Linked DNA regions of Arabidopsis thaliana. The protein of the gene in region 1 interacts with the protein of each later gene in a pairwise test. Each region holds a gene or a part of one and is shown on either strand. Other genes may lie near its edges.

Region 1 (4,040 bases):
TATAAAAACATTTTTCTTTGAAAATTGTTATCTCACTACCGTAGTAAAACGATGGAGATAAGAAAAGCGAGAGGTCATGTGGGAGAGGGCGTGAAGGATGGGGATGCTCCCTGATTAGAGGGGGGAAAGAGTGTCCTATCATCACATGGGAGGTTAAACTGGTTCTTATTTATAACTTCAAAATATTAAAACATAAATAGTCCCACCTTTGTGTGCTCATCAGCAAACATTTTTCTTTAATGTCCAATTTATCACACCATCTCCTTGTTTTCTAATACATATCATACATCTACTAATCATCATTCATTCATATCTTTTGCATATATCATCATCTTCATCATCATCATCACGTGTTTAGATCTAGCAAATGGTTTGTTGTTATTTATGACCAAAACAACATTACCATGTAGTATTTATATAAATCCTAAATAAAAATTGAAACTCACTGATACAATTAAAATTAAAGTATTTGTACAAAATTACATATTGACGAATGTTAGTTGGAAATCACCTGTCTAAGTTTTTTAGAACAAGTGCTCAAAGATATTGGGTTCGACAATTGATGAAATTCCACTTAGGCATTACATATAAATAAATATCGTAAGCATATACACTATCAATTGAGGTACACGTGATCGAGCTTGGACTAAAAGTGTAAGACTAGCCCCTCCCTATTGGCTAGGATAGATACCGTACGTTCCCTCAAATTGACCTAAGTCCATTGTTTTTGTTTACCCGTATCTATATAACTGAACCACAAAATCTTCTTGGTTTTACGCATCACAACGATCATAAAATAATGATATACTCATATAGGTATATCTTGAGTATATAGACAAGCTTTACACTAGCTTGTATAATAAGATAAATAGAGTGGTGATATTTTAATGTTGCATTGTTTCAGTACTTGAAATCAGAATCGTTTCCCACTTGAAAAATTAGTTTCTCTTTGATCATAGCATATCTAACAAGACATATTAGTCGAGCTTTTGGATAGTTGTCGTTTGGTCTTAAAAAATAATGATACATTCTCACAAACTCTCACCGTACCTCAAGGCTCAAGCAAAGCTAGGACATGCTATTAAGGAACTGTAACTACTATAGCTGATTATCACAAAGTCTCACCTCAATATATATAAAGATTTTAATGACTAGAATAATTATAAGTTTTGAGATAAATTATCAATGTATCCAAGTGAAAGTATTGTTTGGTATTTTCTGTCAATCTAGATATTCATTTGCGAATTCCTAATTGACGAAAAATAACAGATATTATAATGTTACTAATTAACAAAAAATAAATCTTTGAAAAGATTTACATCATTGAAATACTACAATATTAAAAATATAATAGCATTATAATATCGACAATACTTATAATACTCATATAATAATATAATAAGAAGATTTTAAATGTACATAATACAAATTATTGCAAAAAGATTTCCAGTAATAGATACTAAGTTCTACTAAAGTTTTTGAAACTTTTTAGGAAAAGCAAGATTTTGTTGGAGACTTTGGATTAATGTAATTTTCAAAAGAGAAGAAGATGGTTTTTTTTTTTCTGAATATAAGAAAATAGAAGATATATATCTATCTTCGGTGTATTTATTGTTGATAAATATGCTGTCTTTTTTTAAAGTAAATAGATAAAAGTTAGACAGACTTTTTTTTTGTCTTATGTATCTTTTTCTCTAGTTTTTTATAAATCAACTTTAAATTAATCATCAAATAATAGTAATATTAGACACATATATACATCACGATCTGATAAATTTGTAAATTCACGTGTCATGTATCCAAGACTCCAATTCTAAACCACTGTTCTCTCTTGTGCACTTGTCATCGGCATATCCAACACCCCTATTTAAGATTATTTGTATTACTCTCGCTCTCTCTCTCTCTCTCTATCTAGAAGTGGTCCTAGCTCTCTATATAACACCATTTCTTCTCCTTCTTTCTTCTCCCTTTCTTTCGACAAGCACAAACAAAGCCATCAAGAGAAGAAAGCCTTTTCTTGGATTCACATATATATAAGAATATTTTTTCAAATCAAACATGTCTTCTAGCAGAAGGTCGAGACAAGCAAGCTCATCATCAAGAATTAGCGATGACCAGATCACTGATCTCATCTCAAAGCTCCGACAGTCCATTCCGGAGATTCGCCAGAACCGTCGTTCCAACACGGTAAATCTTTTCAAAAGTTACTGTGTTTCTTCTATGTACCAAGGTTTTGGCATAGTCACATAAGTTTTACTTTGATGATATTTATTTAGGGTTAGCTATTATGTTTAATAGAGAATCACGCATATACAAGTATACAACATGTTAGAATAGTGCATTATAGTCATAGAAGTACGTGTGGGAGACTGCATTTTGAAGTTTCTAAAATTACTTTTGACCATTAACCGGACTTTGAGGAGAGGGGAACATATTTTCCCTAACTTCAGCATTAAGCTTCTAGTTAATTTTACTTTTATTATTGATTAACTACATTGAATGTGAGACGACTATATTGCTTCACGGACCATCAATTCAATACATTTATGTACAGCACCGACTAATTTTTATATTTGGTTTTCTTAGTTTCTATATAACAAGAAAAGTACGAACTCTAGAAAAATAAGAAAAAGCTGGTTTCTATAAATGGAAGCATCGTTTTCTTATAGTACACACAACCAATCAGATTTGTTCTCAATTTCAAAACAATGTGTTGGTTAAGTTATGAGCATTTTTATTTTTTTGATAAAGTATGGGCATTTTATCTTAAGCTTTAGGTTTAACTTTTAACCTATGCATAGTGTAGTATGTCAAGCAACTAGCGTCAATATATTTTCTTACATTATTAACACGCATCATAACTTCAAGCTAAGACTTGTTTCTGTTGTTGTTAAAGCAAGCTAAGACTTGTTTGAATATTTATATTGAATCCTTACTATAAAATGTACAATTGTGAAAATTGTTTGTAGGTATCAGCGTCGAAAGTGTTACAAGAGACTTGCAACTACATAAGAAACTTGAACAAGGAAGCCGATGACCTCAGTGATCGATTGACTCAGCTTCTGGAATCCATTGATCCTAATAGCCCACAAGCCGCAGTTATTAGGAGCTTGATTAATGGATAATTAAGATATAAATTGATTAGTTGTGCTTTATATATATAAGCTTAAAATCTCGTTGGGAGGTTGATCCATCAGGGTGTTGCATAATTATATATCTATTTTATGTTTCTTATATATTATTTACAATCCTATCTAGTTAGGGTTCATATTTTGACCCTTTTTTGGTTTAACGTCATGCATGCAATTCCATTAAGCTTAAAAATTATAATAAATAAGATTTCGAGTAATTATTTAATTTAAATCCTTTTATATTATATTGTAAGTGTGTCCATTTGTATGTGTGTTAATGCGTTATACAAATGGATATACTATATAAGTATATATGGCACCCAAGAGGTTAATTAATTTCAAAGTTAATTTAGACTTATCTTCGAAATAGATAGAAAAGTTGATTAATACTATCATTTAAAGCGTACATGATTATCAATTTTGCATGAAAACGTAATAGGATGACTCAAACCTACCAGACTCACATAAAAAATAATATCTCAACCATTATACCACTATACATTGTTACAAATTACAAACTACAGAATGAAACAAAATCTATATTTATTAGCTTCTCACATATTAAAAAAAATAAAAAATCCAACAAATGTTTTTGAAAACAGACCCATCGTGCATTATATTTGATAATAAAGATAACATTTACACTAGTTTGCTATAAAATTTAGTATTTAATTACCTACAATAATTTTACATATATATATATATATATATCTGTATAAAATTCCCTAAAATATTTGAAGGTTTAGAAAACAGGTATATGAAGTTTAAACATGCGTATCATACAATCTAGTTAGTGTAAGTATTTACAGTCAAAATGTATGAACCCCGCGATGAAAAGTAAGATGAGTGAGCAGTTTTTAGAAAACTCTTCGGCTGATATATCACACGAATCTTGCTTATTAATGTTGC
Region 2 (5,613 bases), on another chromosome or scaffold:
GATGAAGCGAAACACATAGAAGTTGGAAATATCATTTGAAAAAAGAAAAAACTACACAGGTTAGTGTTTTCATATTTGCCTCTGAAAAGTGTTGTTAAGTTGATGTTAAATTTACCAAAAGACTATTAATCATTTCATATTAGCAATCCAAAATAGACCCGTTGAAAAAACAATGATTGAGCATCATCATCTGTTAATCTAATCAATACTTCCCTTTTTCTTCCTTTAAAAAGAAACTAGTCCTTCTTCTTCCATTGTCTGTCGTTCACTTAGTTTATTTGGTGTCTAGAATTAGGGAGGCAATCTCTGTGCCACCTTCATCATACTTAATAGTTAGTTTTCCTTTCCTTATCAACTTTTTTCATTAATATAATAAGAAAAAACTCATTACATCCGAGATACATAATGATTTGCAAATAAATTTGAAAACCTTAGATAGCTGGAATTATGATTTACAGTAGTAAATTTTCATAGTAACAAATTTGAACTTCCAATCCGAAATATATTTATTTCTATTAATGGAAGATAACAATTACAGCCAGCAACCTTTGTGATACATGTTTTTTTTGTTGTTGTTGTTGAAGTAGAGCCCATGAGAATTACGCAAATCGCAGATTCGAATAGTGGTTTCTTTGACTCAGTTCGTAAAACAGATAATTCATTAGGTTGCTTTGTTCTTCACCAACAAATTTTCTGCTTGATTCTAAAGTATAAATTGAGAAAATTTAAGTATCTAAATCGAAAATATATTCTTAAATTCGAAGTAGATAAACTATTTTATTGTAAGTGACACTTTAGTGAATAATTGGATATGTTGTTTCTTATCATTAATTTGTCATGTGGAATCATTCTAGCTTATAACTTTCTAAGGTACAGAGAATATGCCACGTTACTGACACAATTATTAACCCTTAGCCCTTAGGTTAAATGAATACTATTATCTATGAAGCATTGCGCATTGCGCTCTGTTTCTAACATCCTTTCCACCCGCCTAAAAACATCTTAATACAGTATATATACCATTGTGGTACTTTTATGTCTAACATAAACTAAGATAGGTATTTTCCATTTTAACTGCTGATCAAACTCAACATAGTGAACAGTACAAACAAAAATCAAACTAACAGTAACTTTTCTAGAAAATTAGTTTGAACGTAGCTAGCTTTATTTATATATGAATTAACCCAATGGAGAAGTTCAGAAGCTCCTTTTTTCAGCAGGATATATGAATAAAATGACGCCACTCCCTTATACTTTACCCAACAATCTATTAATCTTATATCTACTTATACATATACACAAAATTTAATGAAATTTTATTCATACATATTGATAGATACACATACAAAACTTTTTTTTGATAAAATACAGGAGTTAATTTCAGTGATCTTTTCTTTACAGGGAAAGAAAAAAAAGCCGTAAAGAGAGGCAGTGCCACTAACCCTACATCGCACATGCATTTCGTTTGGTATATTACTTTATGCGTAAAGTAGTATTTTAAATACAATTCCAATATTTACGAAATCATTGCACTGAATACAAAATCCAAAGTTTTGAGTTTTTGGCCCCTCTCTTTTTGCCCTGTCAGTCCATTAAACGACCACTATAAGTCGTAAATGGATTTCTCCAATAGTAATATGACACGTCATCCTTTCGTTTGAATCTACCTTCCTCCTCCATTCCACCAAAGTATCGGCCTTTATACAAGTTTGTTTGTTTTCTCTTTTCGTAAACATCTTTAGATATCAATAAGCTAATTTAGTAATTAAGATTGTACCCTAAATTGATTGGAAACTATCGTTATGGATGCTCTACCCACATTAGGATCTTTGTAGCATTTCTATTATGTATTTTACTCTCTATTTAGATTATGTCTACAAAAGATCGAAAACTCGTGATTGTAAGAAATTTTGTATATAAATTTCTTTCTAAAATCTCTGTCAAGAGGGTAAGTTTAAAAAAATAATTGTGAACTAATCAACGTGGAACAAAACTTTTTAAGTATAATCATAATTCATAAACATTGCTTCAAGTCACAATGATGTCTCTGTCTCTCATTATTCCAAAACCATTAGAGGTTATAGAGCCAGTTAATTATAACTTATCAATTCCACTAGTGTTGAGAATGAAATTATTTGTTTCTTGGTGGTATTCACGAATTCTCTTTATCATGCATTACAAATGCCACTTTCGTATCTGGCTAAAACAACAAATACTAAAAAACAAATTGACAAAACGACGCCGCTTATTAACTGCTACATCTAAAACGGGGCCGTTTGTTAACTGCTACGTCTCGTGATAGTTGATACCTCTCTCCCTTTATATATCTTCCTCTTCTTCTCCCTTCCATTATTCTCCACAATTTCATAACTTTCTTCCGCTCAACTTCAGATAAATTCGGATTCTGTAGCTCTTTCAATACGACTGCGGAGATCAGAGCCAATTATTTGGTTATGGCGTCTCTGATCTCAGATATTGAACCGCCGACGAGTACTACTTCAGATCTCGTTCGGAGAAAGAAGAGATCCTCTGCTTCATCCGCCGCATCGTCTCGTTCAAGCGCATCTTCCGTCTCCGGTGAGATTCACGCGCGATGGCGATCGGAGAAGCAACAACGGATCTACTCAGCCAAACTGTTCCAAGCGCTCCAACAAGTCCGCCTCAACTCTTCCGCCTCAACATCATCATCTCCAACGGCTCAGAAACGAGGAAAGGCCGTCCGTGAAGCCGCCGATCGAGCTCTTGCCGTTTCCGCTCGGGGAAGAACACTCTGGAGCAGAGCGATCTTAGCTAATCGGATCAAACTGAAATTTCGTAAACAGAGACGTCCTCGAGCTACGATGGCGATTCCGGCCATGACTACGGTGGTTAGTAGCAGCAGCAACAGATCGAGAAAACGGAGAGTGTCGGTGTTGAGATTGAATAAGAAGAGTATACCGGATGTTAACCGGAAAGTACGTGTTCTAGGCCGGTTAGTTCCCGGTTGCGGTAAACAATCCGTACCGGTGATTCTAGAAGAAGCAACTGATTATATTCAGGCTCTGGAGATGCAAGTGAGAGCCATGAACTCTTTAGTTCAGCTTCTCTCCTCCTACGGCTCAGCTCCTCCACCGATTTGATGAGGTTAAAATCGTCTTTTTAATTCTACCATCTCTCGATCTTTCACAGCTTATGTGTATATAGAAGATTCGGTTTGATTATAATCTGTAACTACTCTTCCCAACCGCTGATTCTTCTCTGCTACAAGTAAAAGTAAATTTTGAACCGAGTCTTCCCATTTTTACGATCCTCAAGTCTAAATTAAGTATATGATTGATTAATAAAGTCTTTACCATTAGGGTTCAAATCGTAGTTGGATTATTTGATTTAGATTGATGAATTCGTTGTTGATCAAAAAAAAAATAAGATTGATGAATTCGTTATTGGAGTTAGTGGGAAAATGGGTTCCTCTTTTAACCTCATAGTATGTGATAACTAAACCAATATGGAACTTTTGATGTACTTTTAGTTCATTCAATATGGCTTTGTACTATATCATCTTATGTACTATATGAAATTTCAACATGAAATAGATTTGTACTGCAATAAAGTGGAAAGAAAATAATTTCCCATTTAGAATTTTAAAATACATTATAGTAGATGTAGGAAGATAATGGGTTAACTTTAGTTTTGATTATGGTAGCATGTGATGATGCATTAGAGAATGAATGGAATGATACATTCAAATTCATTGAATTGAATGATGACTGATGAGATTGATCTGTCACTCAATCATCTACTCGCTTTATTGCCCCTCCTTTGAATCCCATTTTTGATACTTATAGGTTGTTTGTCTTCTTTTTCTTTTCTTTTCCTTATTTCACAAGAAATATAAAGGAAAAAAAGAAGAAAAAAGATTAAATTAGCTAATAATTCCCTGTTACTAAATAAGTTTTCTCAAACACTAATCTGCAGTTCTGCACGTACTGTATATCCTTCAATATTCATCACGAAGCAAAACTGAATAACCTGTAGTTAAAATTGACTTAACAGGAGTTTGATTCATTAGCTTAATTAATATACGAATTTCTGTGATAGGGATATGATTTAAGAACACTGGAGTATGACTAGGCGACAACAAGAGACAAGTGACGACAAAAGCAAAAAATATTTAAAACATAGAGAGAAGTGACCTTAAAAGTATGAGGAGGCACATGGGAGTGGCCATGCCTTTGTCCTCTTGTTTCTTTTTAAGCCTTCTCTTATTAACTTGCACGACAACTCTTTTCATCACATATTTCATAAGTTATATTATTATTGCCAAAAGGGACAAACTATTAGAGAAAATAAACCGCAACATTGTAGAAGATTGGATTAAAACTCGCCAACACACTATTAGAGAAACTTGCCCAGATAAAATTATGTCCATGTCGAACACAGTTATAACCAAGGAGCCTAATTCCCAAAAAATGATTTTTATATTTGGAAACCATCCATTGCAGATACTCCTGGAGGTTTCTCCTAGTCTTCAGTGCCGAAGATTTCACGACAAAAGAAGACTTGAAAATCTCGATACTCTTTTGCGGAACTTTCCCACCGCGACACAAAGAGATCACTCCACAGAGATATGAGGCAGCTTTGAGTCCTTTAGACGCGGCTTTTGCAAACATTCGATCCCTTTCTCTTCATCAACAATATTACTGAATAGGTAAAAGCACTTCACAATTCCTTCACGAGCCACTGCTTCCGTGTTTCCGCTCTCTCTGCATCTCTTGAGAAAACTCTAGCTTTAGTTATAGGTCATCGTTTGCGGTTTTGATTTCGTCGAGGCAGACGTGTTCGAGAACTTGAGGGTCGTTGCAGAGATTATGTAATGATTTGCATACGAGGCTGAAGTTGAACAAGCTTGAGTGAAGAAAGAGCCACGCGTGGCAAGATCTCCTTCACAACCACTTCTTCTGGGAGAGACTCCATTTTATAGTGATTTGAGAAATGATATTTTAATTTAGGGTTTCAACTTAGACGTTTGCTTATTAAATTGTGTGAATAAATAAATATATATATATATATATATATATATATATATATATATATCATTAATAAATAAATAAACGATAAGAGTAACCTTAAAAATCTAGTTGAACCCTAAACCCTATGGCTAATATATACAATGTAATATATTATTCCTCTAATCATCTTTTAGAAATTTTTTATTATTTTTAATTTACACATAAATCAATATCTTTTTCAGATATAGTTTTATCTACATTGTATGTAATACCTCCATGTTGCTACACGTTAACACTTGCATATTTGTTACTCAATCTAATTAAGCAGGAATTAAAAACAACGGTTAACCGGAAAACTTTTACTATTTATCCATTCAGTATTATCTTATAGCTCAAATTACTTTTAGTTTTTACATATAGGATATAACTCTCACACACGTAAAATACGATTAAATTTAAATTCAAACTAGGACACTTATCTAATCTAGTGTTATCTGAATTCATAGAGTGTTAGAAGAATTAGGAAACGTTTTTTAATCAATAACATCATTTTTGGGAATAATATGTTTATCAAATATAAACCTACCCAAAGAAAAAAAAAATCACCAACAAATATAGTACGAAT

The links.
Region 2: the proteins of BNQ2 (region 1) and AT3G06590 interact in binary tests that used the Arabidopsis thaliana proteins (3 or more experiments, as listed by UniProt).

What each region holds. Positions count from the first base shown.
Region 1 is NC_003076.8:4,920,572-4,924,611, reverse strand, and holds BNQ2 (BANQUO 2), read left to right. Parts: upstream 1-1,799; 5' UTR 1,800-2,058; coding exon 2,059-2,187; intron 2,188-2,969; coding exon 2,970-3,125; 3' UTR 3,126-3,369; downstream 3,370-4,040.
Region 2 is NC_003074.8:2,052,153-2,057,765, reverse strand, and holds AT3G06590 (basic helix-loop-helix (bHLH) DNA-binding superfamily protein), read left to right. Parts: upstream 1-2,099; 5' UTR 2,100-2,453; coding exon 2,454-3,119; 3' UTR 3,120-3,123; exon of another isoform or gene 3,124-4,077; 3' UTR 4,078-4,687; exon of another isoform or gene 4,688-4,766; 3' UTR 4,767-5,019; downstream 5,020-5,613. UniProt on the Arabidopsis thaliana protein: bHLH transcription factor that binds DNA on specific sequence 5'-CANNTG-3' in target gene promoters. Negatively regulates brassinosteroid signaling.